Lepisosteus oculatus: one gene and its partner. The protein of the gene in region 2 interacts with the protein of the main gene of each other region in a biochemical or structural test. Links are inferred from orthologs where the notes say so. Each region holds a gene or a part of one and is shown on either strand. Other genes may lie near its edges.

Region 1 (10,395 bases), on a different chromosome or scaffold from region 2:
CAGCAACTTGTTAGAATGAGTTATTAATCAGGACTAATTAACAATCATGAGGACTTCCAAAGCTTCAAGCACTATGTTACTACCCCAAGTGTCTAGGGGTAAAGGGGTGTAACATTTAGGATAATTCTTTTGGAAGCAGGTGGGTTTTGGTGAGGGACTAGGAAGCGTGAGAAGGGTAAGGAACTAGAGTGGTGCCAAAGGAAAGAAAATAACAAACAAAATGGAGCTGGCTAGGACAGTGAGGGAAAGCTAATCTGACTACAAAAGAAAACCTGAAACACAAACTTCTGCGTCTTCAAAACCCTAGCTAACCTGCACTGACTACCCAAAACCATACAAGACAAATGGCACTCACCCGTACTAAACTAGTGTACTAATACAAAATCAACTAAGTGTGTAAGTGTACCCAACAACCTAAACTAACCTTATATACAAAAGTTCACACAAAAACACAAGTGAACCAGGAATACAAATAATCAATAGGAGCAGGGTACAAAAGAACACAAAAGTTGAACATGTACTGTAACACTGGGGCAAGGTAATGACAAAACAAGGATGAACACACAAACAAACGAAAGTGCAAAGAAACTAACATAAAACCAGCAAAACAACAAAGCCGAAGATATACGAAAATACACACACACACACAAAGCAAAACAAACCAACAAACGAAGCCAAAGCAATAACCAGAAGCGAAGCAAAGCGATAACCAAAACCAAACGGGACCAAAGTCAAACGAAAGGCCTTTTCTGCCTGAAAGCCTCCATGTTAAATAGAGAATAAAATGAGTTCTGATTGGCTGAGGGCTGATTGGTGATGACATCATATTGAAACAGTGGTGTGATGTTTGGCCAATGGGGAAGGGAGAACAATCAAGGGTCAGCAGTGTGGACATAACAGAAAAAACACACAGAACACACACTGGGACGTTACACACTACCGTATTTTCATGCCATGGACAATGTCTATATTGTGATTATGAGCGCAAAAATGAAATAGGAGTGCATAGAAGAATTAATAGCCAAAATATTTACCTCAGTCAAATGAGCAAGCCCTCTGAGTGGTCTTTTGTGTTACTAATAATAATAATAATAATAATTGCTTACACTTATATAGCGCTTTTCTGGACACTCCACTCAAAGCGCTTTACAGGTAATGGGGACTCCCCTCCACCACCACCAATGTGCAGCATCCACCTGGATGATGCGACGGCAGCCATAGTGCGCCAGAACGCTCACCACACACCAGCTATCAGTGGGGAGGAGAGCAGAGTAATGAAGCCAATTCATAGAGGGGGATTATTAGGAGGCCATGATGGGGTAAAGGCCAGGGGGGGGAAATTTGGCCAGGACATCTTTTCGAGAAGCGCCCTGGGATTTTTAATGACCACAGAGAGTCAGGACCTCGGTTTTACGTCTCATCCGAAGGACGGCGCCTGTTTACAGTATAGTGTCCCCGTCACTATACTGGGGCATTAGGACCCACATGGACCGCAGGGTGAGCGCCCCCTGCTGGCCCCACTAACACCTCTTCCAGCAGCAACCTTAGTTTTTCCCAGGAGGTCTCCCATCCAGGTACTGACCAGGCTCACGCCTGCTTAGCTTCAGTGGGTTGCCAGTTGTGAGTTGCAGGGTGATATGGCTGCTAACCTGTTGCAGGGTGATATTACTGACCTGTTATTGTTATTGACATGAGAACCATGAGACAGATTTCTCTCAACTTCTCCAAGTAGAAAAATGCCCTATAGTACATCTCAATCCAATTGAAAACTGGTAGAACCTGCAAAACATTCAGCTCAAAACCACAGTAAAATTGAGTCTGCTGAATGAAGGGGATGGAACTGACTACAAATATGTCAAACTCTGGCAGAATACATTTATTGGCTCTTTTTGCTCTTACCACATACTCTTGCCACTTCAAGATATTCTCGCTACTTGCAGAGAGGAAACATTATTCAGCAAAAAAAATATCCTTGCTCATCTCCCATATTAGACTTTCCCTCCATCTCCAACCACAAAACCTACAACCTGCCATGTGTCTGATTGTTTGAACAGTAGCCCAGTCCTACTAAACAACACCTTGTTCCAGCCCCATCAGGGAAAACAACTGAATTGAATACCTGTTCATTCACATCCTAACCTAGACACTTTGTCTGGTCTTAAAGACACTTAGATATGAAATTACACTAAATTCACTGGTATTCTTCCAGGATGGCTACAAATAGCAAAAGTGCAGCTGACAGTGTCTAATGATTTACATGAGGTACAAAGGAAGACACTCCCGAAGGGAAGTACCATCAGCTGGGTACTTAATAATACATACAGTATGATGTAATACTTACTTATAATACAGAGCAGGACCAGGTGAAATAAAACGGACATTGATCAGGGCTGGTGACTGTCTTAATGGCTTTTTCTATCTCGGCAACAATCAAAAATAAGCAGGGTTCTCTGGATTCAATTTCACTAGAATAATTGTCCGTACATTTCTAAGTGAAATCAGCATTTTTGTACAATAATTGAGCTTATTTTGATCCGAATGAATTTTTCACTTTTCAAATAACCACAATATACAAAAAATAAAATATTAACTATGTTTCCCGAGTGTTTAAGTACATAATTGTCTGCTCAACACTTCTGTAGGTCTGTAAATTAAAAATAAGTTATTTATTTTCCATTACATTTTCTAGGACAACTTTTCTGGGGCTGCAAAGTTTCATATTTTCCAGGCTTTCAAGATCACACAGGGACCTTGATGAAGTTAAGTAGGTGATAAAAGAATATGGGTTAAAAGTAAAAGCCTTTTCATAGACTTCCTTTCTCAAAATTGTCTGTGTTCCATAGGGTGTGTAATATGTATAAGCATTTTAAATGCAGATCACACACAAAAGAAAAAACTAAAACTTACAGTAGATTAATATAAATAAGGTTATTAATAAGAAACAGCAAGTATTGAGAATAAAATATCAAATGTTTTGATGGATTAAACAAGTATAAAGGCTGACTACTGCAAATGCTGTTTATTCATCCCAGCCACTGTAAAGCTGAACCTGATTTACAAGCAATGTATTTCATGAACTGCATATTAATAACAATAAGGAAAAGTGTTAGATATTTTTTTCTGAATAGTCACGCCCTGCAGCAAAACAAAATATAATCTATATATCATATACAAGTGCAGTACAGCGTGAATCTTTGAGCATATTCTATTGATGTAAACAGCCAGCTTTTTTCATCTTAGAAAATCTGCAGACATTAATTCCAGGTGGAGCAGACCAAAAGCTATATTATTGTGTAGTTTACAGAGCTGCAAATATATACTGTAACAATATACTAAGATTAAATACAGAAACAACTTTTAAATAAATAATTACAATTTAAATTAAGTTGGTCACTGTATTTAATATTAGTTTATAAGAAAAGGAAAACAATGTCCAGGGAATTAAAATAAATTAAATGGTTGCATATTTCTTTTAATTTACAGTACACCTGCATATAACACTTCTATTGCCAAAGTTTACAGTACTCACTAAATAATCATGGTATGAATGTAAAGAAAATATACAGTAACTTTAATGTATATAAAAATAATACATACATACCAAAAACCTTTCAGTTAATGTGCCTTCACTAAAAATATCTTTTCAGTTTACATTTTTAGAAGTGAAAGTTAAGTTTACCAATCCTGTTCAGCTTGTCAAAGATGAGTAGCTACATCAGGAGAGCTACTTGATGTGCCCTTTGTCTGATTCATTCACGATTAATGAGATTTGAACTCATCGGACTAATTTTTCATTTTAATTGACTTTCAACAGACTTGCTCTTCAAACAGCAATGAAATATCTTAAATAACTATAAAATGATTGTGAAATTCAACTGTAGAGATTGGTCTGTGGATTTGGTTAGCTCTCTTCATAACATGGATGTACTGTATGAAAATGATAGCATACAAACAGGTGTCTATCCTCTTTCTTTAGAGTTCATGGCAATTAAAATCTTTTAAATTTAAGGTAGACATTTTATAAGGGATCACAAAAACAGAGCCCATTATGGAGTATAATATTCAATAAATAATGTTAAAGAAGGCAAGTGATAAATTTAAGCAATTTTAAGGAAAGGAATAGTACTCTATACAAGATAGATCTAGAAACAACAATTTAACTACCTCATCCTGTAGCTCCATTATTTATTACACTCTTGATGCTGTGCCAACAAAATGGTGTATTCCTGTCAGACCTTTTCCTGTTTTCTTGCTAAATAGGAAACATTGTGTTACACACAGCCATTTCATGAAAACTTTGAAACAATGCTGAATTTTAAGTGTTGAGCTTGAAAACACTTAGTAACAAAAACATTAAAGTCAAAATACAGATTGAATCATTTGTATGTCCTTTAACCATCCACTTAAAAATGTACATGGGCTTTTTTTTCTTTCTTTGTATGCTCTTTTATACAAAAAGCTCTGAATATTAACTTGAGAGCAGAGCAAATGAGCACAGCTACAGTATGTGAGCTGGGCAGTACCTCCCACCCAAATAAATCCAAGCTGTTAAAAGAGCTATTTTAACTCTTTTAAGGGACCATAGATGGTCATGCTTTAGGCTAAAATGGATGAATAAAGATTTAATGCACATTCAAATCTTAAAACTCAGGGTGCTATAGAACGTTAACAAAAATCAATAGATATTCAGTGGAGATGAGTTTCAATTAAGACTAGTGTCAGGGTTAGGATTAGTGCTATGGTCAGAGTTCAGGGTAGCATAATCAATACAGTGTATCTATGAGTACGTTGTTCACATTCTAGGGAACCGACAATCATCTGACATGCTTATGAATAGAATATCTATTTAAACATTTTATACAACTTAATCCCAAGTGTTACCAAAGAGGTGTAGTTGGTTTTCATGCTTGTCCTTTACTAATGTCTCCTTGGGTCTGTCTAGGCTTTTGTACTTTTTGTAGTTTTGTAGTTTATTGTTACAGAATACCTCAATACAGTGCAACTACTGTATAATTGTATAACTCCCGTACAAAAATGTGATCTTACAATAAAAAACCTTTTTGAGGAAACACTTAGATTTAGCCGGTGGTACTGCTCCAGAACTGACACTTAAAAGTGGGAAATAAAGACATTTGATTGTCCTCAGTGTGATAGTGTCGGATGTAATAGGAAGCTGCCTGAGCACCGGCAGAGCGCTTGTTGTTTTCTGTGCGGTGTGCCGGTGTGTAACCGTCTGCCAATGTTCTGTTCTCTAGTAAAGGTGAGAATCCTTTTGTGGATCAGAGTAAATGTTTGTGTCGCCGGTGAGGGGAACACATTCAGTTCTATGATGAACCCCGTCTGCAGGCGCGTGGGGGTTAAAGCGCAGTCTTGATTAGCTTCCAGTGTGATAGCTGTGCATTCCCACACGCCGCAGAGTGGGGAGTGCAGTGGGAGGTGTGGTCCACTTTCACATCAGATACTGTATGATCTACTTTGTTATATAGTTTCGGTCTAAGTAAACCAATAACAATTACAGTAACATAAAGCAAACAAAGAACAGAGGTCTTATCACTGAATGATTTATTGCTAAAACACAAAAAGGTCAAATTGCATTATATCAAAGAATGTTTGTATTAGAACCAATTCACACATAAACAGATCAGACAATGCGTTAATGTTACTACATATTGACAAAGCACAATAACCATAAGCTGAACAGCCCTACATAAAGATTAGTCATCATTCCCATTAGTAGGCCTAATTCTATACATGTATGTCTGATGAGCAGCATAATCTTTCAAAGCTTTTCAACAGATTTTAAAAATCCAGAAAGCCAATCCAAACAGATGGAATGGCATATATTAACACAGAATAGATTTTTTTAAGAATTGAGAGCTTAAAACATACTATAAATGCAATATTGTGATAATTTATTTTATTATTTCAAGTGCTGTCACAGAAGGAATGAGACCAATAAACAAAGAATTCTTAAAATCTATAGGACCAGCATGTCTGTTCACATATTGTTTCACTGGTGCTGCATGTACTGTAACACCCCTGTACAGGGCTGACAGATGTCCTCAAGATCGCCCTGTTCACTGCAACAAAGTTGTCACCTTTTATTGAGCTGTCTGTCAAGATTAATTTATCTTCATGTACCCATTTTTATCTGTTGGATTTTATAAACATGTTGACAGATTTAGAAGAATTGTAGTGGGGAAAAATAGTTATCCTCTAACAGTAAACATGTATATGGATCCACATACTGTCAATCAGGGCAAACTTAAAGGTTTAGTTTTTCTGTTTTCCCTCCATTTTAATACCCCTTGACACTTTTATAAAACCTTACAGCTGTCAACGACTTACAAAATATTCAAATAATTGTATCCAAGCACCTACACCGAGATGTACCAAATTTATTAAAATCCAGAACCTCTACTTTACACTTATATTTTAACTAGACACTGTCCTCCAAGGATTAAGAGTGACCTCAATGCCTTCAAACACAAAGGCTACTAACTGTATTTTTAATTTAATTCTAAATGGAAAACCTGTTTAAATTGGAAGCCCCTTCTGTGGTGAAGCTGTAAAGACAGAAGTATTACCATACTGTATTTCTAATTCAATTAGGACCTGTCCTGTACAAAACACTTTCTTTCAGAAGATTATGTAGTCACTGTTTTTACTTCAAAACAAGTAGCTTTCTACAAATATAAAATAATGCTCAATGACGCTGAGACAAGTACAATCTGTTGCATTGCACATGCTGGAAATGAGGGCATTTTAATCACATATACCACTGCAGACGTTTTTAAGCCAGTGTTTGATATATAAAAATTAAATTAAATTAATGATGCTTCATTAATCATGGGAGCATCTAACCAAGAAAATGCAGATTGTTCCAAACCCTCCATCAATTTAAAAACATCTTTACGATACTTCACCCTCTTTCCTTCTCAGTTAACCTCATAAATATTTTACTACTGGCATTCACTTTGTTATCCTGCTTCTGTAGTTTGAGCACAAAAGCCCTGAGAATGGAATTAATTTTGGAGAATCAAACTTACAAATATAAAAACTTGACCATATCATAAAATGTAAAGTAACACAAAAAATAATTATAAAAGTGGAATTTCAAATTCACAGTTTTCATCCAGAAATAAATATATATATACAGTATACAGTGTATTTTAATACGTACTGTAGACAGGACCTTTCATCACAACCAGGGTCCTAATGCACTTTGTCATTAAACATAGTTGCACATGAACCAACTGTCATACAATCAAGTGGATATGAAAGCAGCACACCAACTACATCCTGACTATAACAATGCCTGAGAGAAGAGATCAAGATCCAACTGAAAGTTTTATTAATAGATCAACTTCAAATAGGCCAGCATCCGTGATCTACAGTACCACTGTCGATAGTGACATTGGGGTTAACATCTTACTCTTTTAAAGAGTACCTTGGGATCTGTACTGCTAACAGTGAGGACTGGATTTCAGTTTAACACATCATCCAAAGAAAACACATTTCTTAGAACACAGTAATCCATGTCAACACTATGGGGCATTGCTTTGGATCTTCTCATGCACAGGCCCAACATTGCTCAGCAGCTGAAAGAAGAGATTTAAGAGAACGGTTTAAGGTGGTACAGTATAGCCACTAGAAAAACAGCATGGACTTGAATATCTGATACAATGATGATTCATTACTATATGTTAACATGATTTTTCACTACACAGGATTTAAACCAAGCAGTACAATTCTTAAATTTAGGCAAAATGTTTTCTAGATTACATTCTCAGGTTTACAACTCTTGCCTTTTATCAATTTATTGAACTTCAAACACAAACCAAAAGGAAAAGATCATTTTATACAAGGAATTATAGTGCCAGATGCAATAAAGGAATGTCCTCCTTTGAAGACACCGTTTTTGCTCTGATATTCTTAATGACTATTTAATTCTGGGCATTCCTGTAAGAAATTGCAAAAAAAGGGGTTGTTGTTTGTGCAAATCATATTTTTCAAATCTAACTATATTTGAGAGCTGAAAATCTCAACACTTAGTTGTGCCATTTTGTTAAAAACTTCAGAAAATACATATATTAAAAAATCACAAATTTCCCTCTTTAAAAGGCAATGGGGAAAAAACATTTTTAAGTGCAACTAAAAGGCAACATCATCTTAAGCAACAAGCTAACCATAGAATAAGACCAGAAAAGCATCATATCTCCTCACTGCCTTCTTCCAGTTCTTTGAAGACTGAATCACAATCAGGTACAGTATGACCTGGAGTCTTTCACTCAAGGAAGCCATATCACACCTACAACGGTGATGGCTATCATCCACCCTGCATGCTCTCACCTCTGGCTCCTTTCTGGAGACTGTGGCAGCAGTTGCTGCCATTTTTCTGTCCATATTTTCTGGTTCATTACCAGCTGTGTTTCATTCTTCATTGACATGAACACATAAATTACTGTTTAGGCTAAAAGTAGGTTTAACATAGTCACAAACTGAACGCATACAATTAAACGTCACCAAATTCTCACAACCACCTCTCCCCGCATTTTGAGGAATCACCTCATCTCCATCCACCATGGTCAGTACCCTTTCTAATTTTTCTTCTGCATCCGTGCTCTACCTCCCAACAACTCTTTCCTGGGGCAAATACAAGAAATTTCTTCCGGCTTTCATTGATTTAGGTGCCATGGGGAACTTGGACTCGCCTCTTCACTGAAGATTCCCCTGCAGCCGGCCTATGCTCTCATTTGCCTCCAGATTCTTAATGGATCATCCCTGTCTCCTGGTCTCATTCGATGGAAGACAATTCCTCAATCTCTTCATATTGGAGCTACAGTACTCACAAGGAAGAGATCTGGTTTCTCCTCCTCCAATCACCATTGCTTCCGCTCATTCTTGGTTACCCCTAGTTACAAGCACACAATTCTCATATCTCCTGGTCTCACCATGATATCACAGCCTGGGGACCTCGTTGCCTTAAACATTGTTGTCAACTCCCTCAGAAACTTTCTGTTGCCCTCATCGCCAAGGAAGATTCCTTCTCTATTCCCCCCACTTACTCTGATCTACAGCTGGCTTTTTGTAAACAAAAGGCACTCTCCCTTCTCCCCCATCAACCTTATATTGTTTCATTGAGTTAATCCCGGGAACCTTACCACCCAGGGGGCGCATCTACCGCTCTCTTTACAAGAATCCAAAGCACCTATCCAACTTACATCCAGGATACTCTGAAATCAGCTTTTATCCATCTCTTCTCTTCTCCTGCTTGTGCCAACTTCTTTTTTGTTGAGAAGAAGGACGGATCTTTGAGACCGTGTGTAGATTACCGCGGTCTCAATGCTATTACTGTAAAGAATCACTATCCCCTACCTCCTATTCGTGCTGCCTTAGAATCTGTCCAGGGTGCTACCATTTTGTTCTAAATTAGCTTTTCGCGGCACATATAATCTCATCCACATCCGCGAGGGAGACGAATGGAAATCGGCTTTTATTACCACCCATGGCCATTATGAATATCAGGTCATGCCCTTCGGTTTAGTCAACACTCTGGCCATTTTTCAAAATTTCATGAATTACATTTTCCAGGATATATTGCATAGATTCGTGTTGATCTATTTGGATGACATCTTAATTTTCTCCAGTGACCTTCAGGAGCACATTATCCACTTCTGAGAGGTTCTTAATCGCCTTATACAGAACAATCTCTATGCCAAGATGGAGAAATGCATTTTTCAAGTTTCTAAGATACATTTCCTGGGTTACATCATGGATTTCACCAAGACCAATGCCATCTGGGACTGGCCCACTCCCAGGAATTTGAAAGAGATTCAACATTTCCTAGGATTCGCTAACTTTTACTGTCGCATTATTAGACAATTACGGCCTTAACCCACAAAGGTCCCAATCAGGGTAAGTGGACTCCTGAGGCAGAATGCCTCAGAAAGGGGCAGTTTGTGTGGATGTCCACCTGGAACATACCTCTACGTCAACCCTCTCACAAGCTGGGCCCCCACTTTATTGGCCCCTTCTGAGTTGTTTCCAGGATAACCCCGGTCACTTACCGTCTCGCTCTTCCCCCAACCCTCCGTATTCATCCAACCTTCCACGATTCCCTTCATAAACCTTATCACCATTCCCCCCTCTCTAAACCTCAACCTCAGCCACCCTTTCCCCGGCTCACAATGGCTCACCTACCTTTTCAGTCAACAAGATTGTGGACACTCGCTGGCACAGGGGACACTGCCAATACTTGGCTGACTGGGAAGGATACGGACCAGAAGAGAGGTCCTGGGTCCCTGAAAGACACATACAGTACCTGCCAGGAGCCTCATCAAAGACTTCCATCGTTCCCTTTCTGCTACCCAGTCTGCGGTGTCAGGAGCCGCC
Region 2 (10,498 bases):
GCCCAATGGAGTAGGATTCTATGGGCCGTGGGATTTGAACCGGCAACCTTCCAGCCACAGGTGCAGAGCTATCGCTCCGCCCCATTTAATCATGTTAAAATAAAGCAGTTCATCTTTTCCTCTGCATCTCCACACGTATCATTTTGGACTACATATTTCGGGTTGCAAATCAGAGTGGTTCAGAAAATTATTGTGTCATTCTTTTCTTATCCCAGCAAGCAACAGGCGCAAGGAGGGGAACACCATGCCTTGACGGGACAGACACGCTCACGCCAGGGCCAGTTTTCCCAGAAGCCAATTAACCTACCAGCACGCCTTTGGACCGAGGCAGGAAACCCGTGTACGCATGGCGAGAAGATACAAAGTCCACACAGGGAGCAACCCAGGGCCAGAATTGAACCTATGGTCCCAGGGCTGAACCACTGAACCACCATGCTGCCTTAATTAGTGTCCAACATTCCCAAACTTCGGTGCGATTTAATGTTTATATCTGGGGCGGTTGGTGAGGGCTCTCTTTTTTAAAAAGAGAAACATCCCCTGTGCCAATAATGGCAAAATAGCCCAGGTATGGAAAGTTCGTATTCTGTTATTCGGAATTTCCCACCACAGTACGTCAACGCCGATGCCAGTGGTCAACAAGCCAGGCTTGCCTGTGTTCCTTGTCACCACTGGCAGGTGGCTTGTCACCAGCACCTGGGCCTGCTGCCTGAGCAGCCTCGGCCGACAGCACGAACCCCCCAGCCGCCCGAGGCTCTTTCTCACCTGGCGCAGGTGGGAAATGAAGAATGTGCAGACATGTGCAGGTCTGAAACCAGCCAAGCCAATACGTGACTGATTTTAAATTCCACTAGAGGGAATAAACCACGACTCAGTAGCTGGTTTGTAGTGCAGATCCCAGTGTTATAACTGGAGGGTTTGGAATTCAAATCCCAGGTAGGATACTGCTTTTAGACTCCTGAACAAGGTTCAGCTCTGATTGCTCCAGTAAAATGCCCAGCTGTACCCAAATGTAAATGGCTTCAGCCAGATAAATTAATAATGCATGCACAGTATGTTTCATGTACTGTACTCCCACAGCTACAGCTCCAAATGAGTAAAACCGACAGCATGACTGTGTCCATCACAATAGAAACTAATTAGAATCACCAGGCTTAATAGAGCCATTACCATGAGCGGAGTGCCAAACAGTTTTTTAAAAGGTCGCTTGGCAACCCAACTCTCATTAAAGGGCTTAAAAGAACTCGCTTTCAAACACGGCAGCTGAAACTTCACAATATTTTTCAATACGTTCAACTGTCTTAAACGTATTACAAACCTCGTTTAGACTTTAACGTTCAAGATGTAAAGATGACGAATCGGAAAGCACAATTTACCACACAAAGCACTAGGTAATCAGGTGGCGTGGAATCGTCATGCTAAAGACGAATAAACGCTGCTCCTGTCCATTTCTGCACCTATGTCCTTAATATAACGTTACTTTCCCACTACAAGTAAAAATGCAACATTCAGCAGCAATAGAGAAACGGAAAGAATTCGGACAAACCAAACCCAACATATTCAAATCCAAACAGAAGATAACCTAGATGTTTGGATGCAACCTGATAACAGACGTTCACGTCATAACCTTAAAATAAGACAGGCGTCATAATATGAAAATGCGTCTTTGAAAGTTGTCAGCTGATACAGGCGGCAATTCGAACACGTTTTTCAACCGGCGGAGAAAAGCAAGAGACGTTTTGATACGCCCAGTGTCTGAACTACAGCAGCTGTATCGTCGTGACTAAAGCTCACAGACGCACCCTCGTCGCTATACAATTGTTGCGTTTCAAGGGGTCGCGTCTTGGCTATACATTTAAGAAACTACTATGGGGCAAGTCTTTATATTAATATAATTATCTCACGGCTTTTGAGCACGCTTCTCCAGATCTTGCCCCCCCCAAAAAAAGAGCAGAAAGCCTAATTATCACAGAGAAGATGATAACTGAGCTGATTAAAACATGATTTAGCAGCTCCTGGACAAGATACCATCTTGTGGTGACAAGATGATCATGAAATAGAAATAGTCTAGCAGCCTGAGGTTAGAAATACGGCAACGCATCCCCTTAACCTGACTGGGAGTAGCTGTGTTTACGCCTGCGTGCAACCTCTTTATGAATCCGTTTAGCAGCAGTACACGGGAATAGAAAGATAGCATACAAGTGATAAGAAAACGTAGTGGAGGTCTGTCTTTATCCCTCATTTTAGCAATTGACCACTTACCACCAGCTGCTTACTAGATATCTAGGTACATTTTTAAACAGTCGCTCCCTCTATCAGACCCAGGTGAAACATTTAAAGCCATTTCACATTTAAACCAGCATCCCAGAAAGCTGTCTTGTGTAATGTAAATATGTCGCAGTGACCGTTTGTCTGCCTGTCACCTATACTCCACACTGTCTCTACCAAATCCCTATGATCACCTTCAATTTCAGGCGTGTTAGTTTTAATCTTCCTTTTTTTCCCCTAAGTTTAGGACAGAAAATGAAGATGGAGTGAAAGGGTAGGCTGTAATTTGGAAGATAACGTACTGTAATTGCTACAACCGAGAAAAAAAAAACACAAAGATGCTAGGGTTCACAAACTTGTTTTTCTTTTGCTTGAAAGCGGTTTTTAGCCAGGGCCCAAGAAGCTCGGGGTTAGGTGAGCCTCGGGCGTCTGTTGACGTGCGCAGTGAAGTACATTTGAAAAGTTATAATCGATGGGGGTTTTTTAAACATAGGTCAGCGAATCGCTCGGGTGTATAAGAAACTCCTAAATAAATACATTTCCCAACCTATGACTGCGGGTCTGTGCATTGACTACAAGGCGATGACAGTACACTTTGGAAGAAAATGACCGGAACCCTAAAGATACTGACCAAGTTAGTAGAATAAGCCGTTACCGATGTGGGCGTTAATTGAATGACTCACTCGAACGCTGCTCATCAGCCAGCAGTCGTGAGAGACCATTTTTTTTTAAAGATACCTCAGCAATAACGGCATCTATGCGGATCAAGGGCCCGCACACATGCAGTGATGTCAAAGTGCGGTGGGCTATCTGAAAGGCGGTGCTCTTTCCAGGTGTAATTACGGCAACACGGGGAGCCAGTGCCGGTCTACCGCACCTCCTCCGCCTGTTTGCGCAGCGCCTTCTCCCTCTCGTACTGGGTGAGCAGCTGCTCGTTGTCCTCCTTCAGCAGCTCCAGCTCCACTTCGTGCTCCTGGTTCTCGGTCAGCACGGAGTCCAGGTTCTCCAGCACGTTGACCACCAGCGGCATCAGCTCCTTGACCACCTCCTCGTCGTAGCTGCGGATGAGGCGCTCGAACTCGCGGTAGATGCTGTTGGCCAGGCCGGAGACCCGGTCCGACATGACCGACACCGAGCCGTAGTCATCCTGGTAGACCACCTCGTCGAGCGAGATCTCCATCATCTTGGCAAGAGGCTCCGATAACACGGGCGGACGCCCCCCCTACTCCACCACCACGACCACCACCAGCGCAGTTCCGGGGGAGAAAAAAACAAAACCCTCAAATATAGAGGAATTTAATGTGATATACCGGTGTTTTTTTTTTAATTCAAGCCCCAAAATGTCATTCGCCCGTCTAAATATATTTCGCCTTTTTTCGTTCCAGTCTTTATCGGGCTGGGAGCGACGCAGACGCGTTCGCTTTCAGTGGCTCAGGTGATGCTCTGCAGGTCCCGAAATCCGCTTTTTTTTTTTCAGCCCCTGAATTCCGAGACCAGGGCGACGCGCATCGTTTCCGCCGGCTAAAACCCGATATTTCTGTCGCTGTAGTTGAACGCATGCAGGGGCCAGGACTCTCCCTGTTCCCCGTGTCGCCCGGCGCGGCGGCCTGGATGGGGGCTTCTAGATGGTTCCCGGTCGCGTCTTGCTCTCGGCGAAGCCCGCATCCCTTTCCAGGCGAAAGCGGTGCAGTTTGTTTCTGCCCATTTTGTTGTTGTTTTTTTCCCGGACAGGAAAAACAAGGTTAAAACGGAACGCAAAAAAAAAACGAGGCTTCTAATTAAAATAATAAATAAACGTGCCTCACAATGCACCTGCCGGTCAGCAACCACGCAGTCCAGTCATCGCTGCGAGCACTGATGACACGCATGAAATCAGCTGAAAGCCGCCGTTCCCTGCGTGCTCCCTCCCCTGCCTCCCTCTTTCCCCTTTAAATCATATTTTGGTCCAGTCCGGCTCCAGTCCGCTTCCCCGGGTTGGACCGGGTTAGGCGATGCCGTTTTCTGCGGCGCTGTCGGGATCCTCCCAGGCTGAGCGAGGCGGCTGACGTCACGCCGTCTGCAGCGAGCAGGCTCCGGCCGAGCCGGGATGTCTCGTCCTCGCCGCGCAGTCACGGCCGGCGTGAGAGCGCGTTTTCCCCAGCCCGCAGCCCCCCAGCCGGCCAGAGCGGTCACTGTTGTCTGCGGTGCTCACGGTCGCTGCGCGGACCCATCCCCTGGTAGCAAGAGGGCTCGGTGGGCTTCGCCAACGTGCTGCGTCACACAGCAAAAGCAGTGACCAGTGAAGAGAGGGAATGGAATCGATTAGCAGCTCATTTTTATTTCTGCTTTAACAACAACAACAACAACAACGCAATGTTCTTTATTTTCGCCCTGGCAAAGATACAGTCCACTCCATCTATCCTATATATGTCTTCTGAGATGAGGAGCCCCAGAGACGAATTCATGCCTAAACGTGCACATCACGAACTGCTCGGACTGCTATCTCTAACCGACAACAGAAACAGCAAATAACGTCTCAAACAGTGAACACAAAATCTGCGTTGCTTTAGCGTTCTGAGGGACATGTAATACACCTATGATGTTCCCTTCTCGTCGAAAGATGCTATACAATATACAAAATTAAAGTAGATAAAATGGCAGTGGTGCCCACTACACTTTCCCTTCAGTACAATTCCCTGCCAATTCACGGCTCATGACACGCCCTGTATTTTCACCTCTTGGTAAATGTGCAACAACGTAAAACCTCGTCTCTCGACCAACGTTTTTTTCCTGCAATATTGAACAAAAAACGGTCCTGTTCCCTCCAGGTTATAATTAAAATATAATTAAAATAATACGGGACAGTGCTGTTAAAACCCGGCTATCTCATGGAACATTTATGAAGACCACGCCTGTATTGTCTAAAACACATCAAGTACTGGACACGCCATAGCAAAAGAGAGCACTTGTTAGCGTTCATCACGTTTGAATGTTTCTGAAATGAAAGGGTTAAAACATTAAAAAAACGATTTTAATTTCCACTGCTGTTCGTGAACATATTCATATATATAACGGTGACAAAATCGTTTTTGCTTCAAAAATAGTGAAACGGGTTCAAGGTAGTATAATCCACATTCACATTTGAACTTCAGTTTATTGAATTTAAGAGTTCGCCTCAAATATGGTCAAAGTGAGCTCGGCTGCAGCACCTTTGCCACAAGATCTGAATTTCTCGTCTCTGTAGAACAGGGAGCACGACGCAGATCGCAGCCTCAAGTCAGCTGCAGTGCTTATCTAAACTGCAGGAAAAAATCCATCTTGTTGTAGATGTTGGTCAGCATCAAATACAATTCGGGAATCACAGAAGAGCGGTTTGTATGTCGCGCTCTTTAAATAAACGAGAGCTAACCTTCTCTATATTCTCTATAACCTTCTTAATATTCTTTATTTACAGGTTGGTAACGGTTAATTTGCTCTACACAACGTTTAATTCTGGTAAAATCTTCAGAGTTTATCACACTATCATATTCAGTGATGTTCGAGTTTCGTAATATTATCTAGGAATGTGGATACATTTCTTCTTATGCAGCGGCACAACTGGTAATGTTCATTTTCATTTACATTTTCATTTACGTGGGTAAGCTTTGTTTCAGTTACAAGTAATATTGTTAATGTTTTTATGTTCTCTGGGACCCGAAATAAAGGCAGTGCCCAAAACACTGATTATCCCTCAGGAAGGGAACCTGAGCTATAGGGTCGTGAAGAGGTGGGGGGTAGCTCTGTTGTTTCGTAGCTCTTGGCTCCCGTATTTGTTGGCTTCCTTCACCTGTTTTGAATGAAAGTTTCTGTGGAATGAGTGGTTGGTTGATCTACCGCTCATAAAGTTGCATCAGAAATACAGTATGAAGAACAGCGCCCTGCCGAAATAAGTGGAATTACATCATGTAACTGGAAGAAAGAAACAGAGAGGCACGACTTGTAATGACTTCGCGAAAGCAGAGCTAATGCATTTTTTAGAGACATCCTGTAGGCTTTTACAGGAAGAAAGGCAGGCTTCAAAAATCACGTGAAACCTATCAGGCGAGTGTGTTTAGTTATGTTAGTGGGGGTCTGTATCTCCGGGCACACCGATGAGATCGTGAGGATTGTGCAGCTAGCCAAAATGCAACCCTCTGTCTTTAAAGTGATGTGCACGGCGTGACGTCAGGCACATGAGCAGGTGCGATCTGAACTGGGAGGCAGAGGGGAGAATGAGCAGCTGATCAGTTACACAGGTACAGCTTGGACCTGCAGTTGTTTATCATGGGCAAGCCGGCGGAAAAAGGTCAGTAAAGTTGGTCGCGTTTTTTAAACATACGGGTCAAGAGCACCGGGTGATTTAGGGTAATCGGAAACGCTGGTAGCAATCCCCAGATGTGGTTGCATCTGGGAATTGCTAATGTTTCTTTTCCCGGATGATTTAAAAATAATGGTGAAAGTCAAAGTCTACTAGCTTCGCGTCTGTAAAGTCTCTTTTTCATGCTAACAGGAATATTTTTCCTCTCGATTCCTAACGCCTGAGCTACAGTGAATGTTTGCCCCTGCTGGGTCTACCCCCATCGCTACAAAGATTTCCGAAGCATTTTAGAAACACTTTGCTTTTTTAAAAATTAAAATATCTGTTGTGTTCTTCAGCGCAATTCCAAATCTCCAACTGTATCCCCAGCTTCAGAAATAGAAATTGTCTCTAAACTGGAAACACGTTACAAATTCGCTCCCTTTACTTTTTGCACAGCGCAGATGTTGTTTTGTATGTCCCTTAGCGATGCGTGGGACTTCTTTGACGAAAGCGGAGATGCTGGGTTTTATCTTTGTTACATTTTGGTTTTTTTACTCTCGTTTGTAAGCGCTCTGTTCTTTTTAGAAACACTCTATAGCGTTGGGAGGTGGGTGTCATGTGGAATTAAGCAGCTGCCTGAGTTCAGACCTAGTTTACAAAAGTAAATGGAATGGATTCTTTTCAGGACAGTACTCACCAGAGGGCGCTACGCCTTCTGAATGTGATCAGGGGGACACTGATGGGGTATCCCCGTGGTGTTTAATCCAGGTGAGCCCCTGGCCGCTGGAGGTATCCCTTTAATTGATCTGTTTGTTCACAAACATCAGGTAAAGAAGACACTTTCTTACCTGTGGTGGTTTCAAATACTCTGCTTCATGCAGATTGTACAAAATTCTATACAGCCACCTCTTAATTTTCTTCTTTTATTTTGCCTGGGCTGCTCTTGAGAGTGAGTGGCAGGCAACTGCCCCTTGCTATTGTAGAGCTACTATCCATTACAATTCGCATTTGGCCTGAGGGCTGAAAGCAAATTTAGGGGGAAAAAAGATGCATCAGCTTGCAAACTGAAACAAATTAGCCTTCCCCATGTAAATTACAGCAAAAGGCAGATGTTCAGTTTTCACAGGTGTTGCTCAGGAACCCTATTTGTATATTTGCTAAATGTCACTGCTACATGGTGCAGTGTGCAGTATTTACAGCAATGTGTTCGCTGTCAGTAATAGTGCGATACTGATACGTCTTTCACTTTTTCTTGAGGTTCTGACCATTCTTAACTTTTAATTAAGAGCAGCAATAAAAACGGGGAACGCAAAAAAAAAAGGTTTGTGGCCTTACGGCCTTAATTGCTACCTGGAGTTGTGACGCCACATTTCTTTTTGCAGCATTTTACAGATTCCTGGTGCTGTTCTTCAACTGCCTGCTGACGTTCGGCTCCTACTTCTGCTTCGACATCCCCAGTGTCTTGCAGGACCAGTTCCAGGGGGTGAGTGAGTGAGCAGTAGGCCAGAGACTGACCGACCCTGGGCTCTGGTGCGATCGCCTAGCCTTCCGACGTCACCGAGCAAATGAGGTTCTCCCATCTGAATTTAAACGCTTTTTTTCCCCCCGGTCCTGTGCGATTTAGAGAAGGCGGCTGCTGGCCCTTCGTTTGCACCCTACGTGGACAGAGATGGTCACCGAAGCTGCTGTGGTCATGCGTGTCACGTGTGTGACATGCTCTTGTCCTCCAGCGAGACTATGGCAATGTTGCCACCTTGTCAGCTGGTTTGACTAAGGTCTGACTCAGGTCATTACCAGTCCTGTGGAACTGTTTGTAAGAGTAAGGGCATTAACCCTGGTGTGCTGACTAATCCCCACTTCTGATTTGCACAATCTGTCCTACCTAGATGGATGGATGGATGTTTGCCTGTTATGCCTTCCAGCAAATCCTGTTGCTGTTACTGTAACATTTGTTTTTTATGGGACAGGGTTGTTAGCCTTGTGCCCAACCTCCAACATGGAGGACCGGGCGCCCGACGTGAGACACGAACCCACTACCCCGAGATTATGAGTCTGATGCTCTGCCAGCTAGCCGGGGCTGTCCTACCTAGACTTCTCTCTGAATTCGATTCCTGAAGTAATTTTTCACTTCTTTCCTTGTCCTGATGTGCAGGGGGGTGGGGTTGGCACACAATGACTGTCACAGGTCGCTGACAAGTGGGGCTGCACTTCAGTGACTGATGAAGGGGGTAGGCTCTTACACGTAAAGCACTTTGGGCTCTTTTGGGATAAAAGAGCAAGAAATGCAAGAATTGTTACTGTTGGGAAATAACCTGGTGCTCCGGGATTGTCTGAAGCAGATCATGTAGGACTTGTTGAATTAAGTGTCTTGACAGTTTGAGTCCTTGCTTCATTCTGTGTACGGAGGACAGGCAGCTCAAGGGTAGCTCCAGGTGGCTTGTCACTACAGATGTCTTCAAACGTGCTGGCTGATCAGCTAGGGACATGCCTTGGACTTGAAATTTCACCAGCTGTTTCCTCTGCTCAGAACCTGACGTGTCCTAATGCAATGGTAGCGAACGGCTCAGCTCCTGATGGGACCGGAGAGTGTGTGGAGGGGTTGGGGATGACTCCCCAGGAATACAACCTTCTCTACGCCATCTACGCCTGGACGTGAGTCTCGCACCCCTGCGGTCATGCTGACTCGCACCCATCAAGATGGCACATAGCAGAACACTGTGTTAGTTTGTCTTTTTAAGCTACTAGAGTCCAATGAACCATAGCTCTCTCCCTCTGCAGTATTCTGCTATTTTGTTTAATAACTTGGTAATATGATATATTGCAAAGCACCATCTTTTTAGCTAAAGCATTTTTATTAAAAAAAAAAGATTTCGAAAACGTCTTTCAGTTAACCTAATGTGTCATACAATTCCATTGAAGGGTTTCTAAAATTAAACTGCCTTATGTCAGTGAAGCACTTTTTATGGTGAAAGGAGAAGTATAAACTCGTAGATATAGAATTAGTTTTATTTCTTTTGCATAGTTTCATTTAAAGTCCTTTAAAGTCCTTTAAAATATGGGATCTGGGTAACATTCATATTTTGTCCTTGCTCCTTTCCCTTACATAATAACAGAGATGCCGAAATCTAGAGTAATTTGAACAGAATATTCTTTAGGCTTTGAAATTGGGAGCTGAAAATGATCGGTTTATCACAGTTGTTGGAAATACTCTTTCCTGGGGGCTGTGTAACTAGGCTGTGTAACACTTTTAAAGGCTGGGAGGCATTACAGAAATGTTAATAAAGCCTGGCTTTTTGCTAAAAGCACTTCCTCTGCTGTTTTCACTGTTTCTGCAGACACTGTTGTAATGGCACCTCCCTTGTTTGTCTTTCACAGCAATGCAGTGGTGGTGATCCTGGCTGGCTTCCTCATCGACAAGCTGGGAAACCGCTGTGAGTGATGCACTGAAGCTCTGCATGCGTACTGCTCTTATTAAGCAAAAGGGTCCCAGCACACACAGAACAGACTGTAGAGCAGGGGTCCCCAGACTCTGTGCTGTGGTTTGCTGTTATTTCTCTATACTTTCACACCTTTCCATAGCTTTTGTGAAGGGTTAACATCTACTCATAAACCTCAGTTAAATGGTTCCAAAAACCTTCTGGCTTGTCTTTGCACGTCAGAGCAAATTATGAGCAGGGCCAGATTTTGGTGTTTGTAGGCCCCAGGCACTTTCACTCAGAGATCTGCAAAAAGAGGGGTAGACGCCAGTTGAATTATGTCATTTTGTGTTGTAGGTCACTGGGTTCTTTGTGTTCACTGGATTTGGAAAGAGTCCGCACCTTCAGTGGGGGTTCGTCTTTTATCATAAGTGCTCCAGTGGGATGGGTGGGGGGAGATGGGTTGACCCACAAATAATTGACTCGTTCAACAACCTATCCATCCTTCAAGGATGACCGC

Evidence for each region. The genes of interacting proteins can lie anywhere in the genome.
Region 1: the proteins of mapk8ip3 (region 2) and mapk10 form a complex in vitro, tested with the Homo sapiens proteins (3 studies listed by BioGRID, with this or other methods). The link is inferred for Lepisosteus oculatus from reciprocal best matches to the Homo sapiens genes MAPK8IP3 and MAPK10.

Annotation. Positions count from the first base shown.
Region 1 is NC_090698.1:19,459,161-19,469,555, reverse strand, and holds the start of mapk10 (mitogen-activated protein kinase 10), read right to left. Parts: upstream 4,184-10,395; 5' UTR 4,183-4,183; coding exon 4,165-4,182; intron 1-4,164. UniProt on the Homo sapiens protein: Serine/threonine-protein kinase involved in various processes such as neuronal proliferation, differentiation, migration and programmed cell death.
Region 2 is NC_090714.1:4,140,742-4,151,239, forward strand, and holds the start of mapk8ip3 (C-Jun-amino-terminal kinase-interacting protein 3), read right to left. Parts: upstream 4,480-10,498; 5' UTR 3,449-4,479; coding exon 3,143-3,448; intron 1-3,142. Other genes in the region: mfsd1l (lysosomal dipeptide transporter MFSD1), read left to right, coding at 6,547-6,568, 7,945-8,045, 9,090-9,214, 9,938-9,993.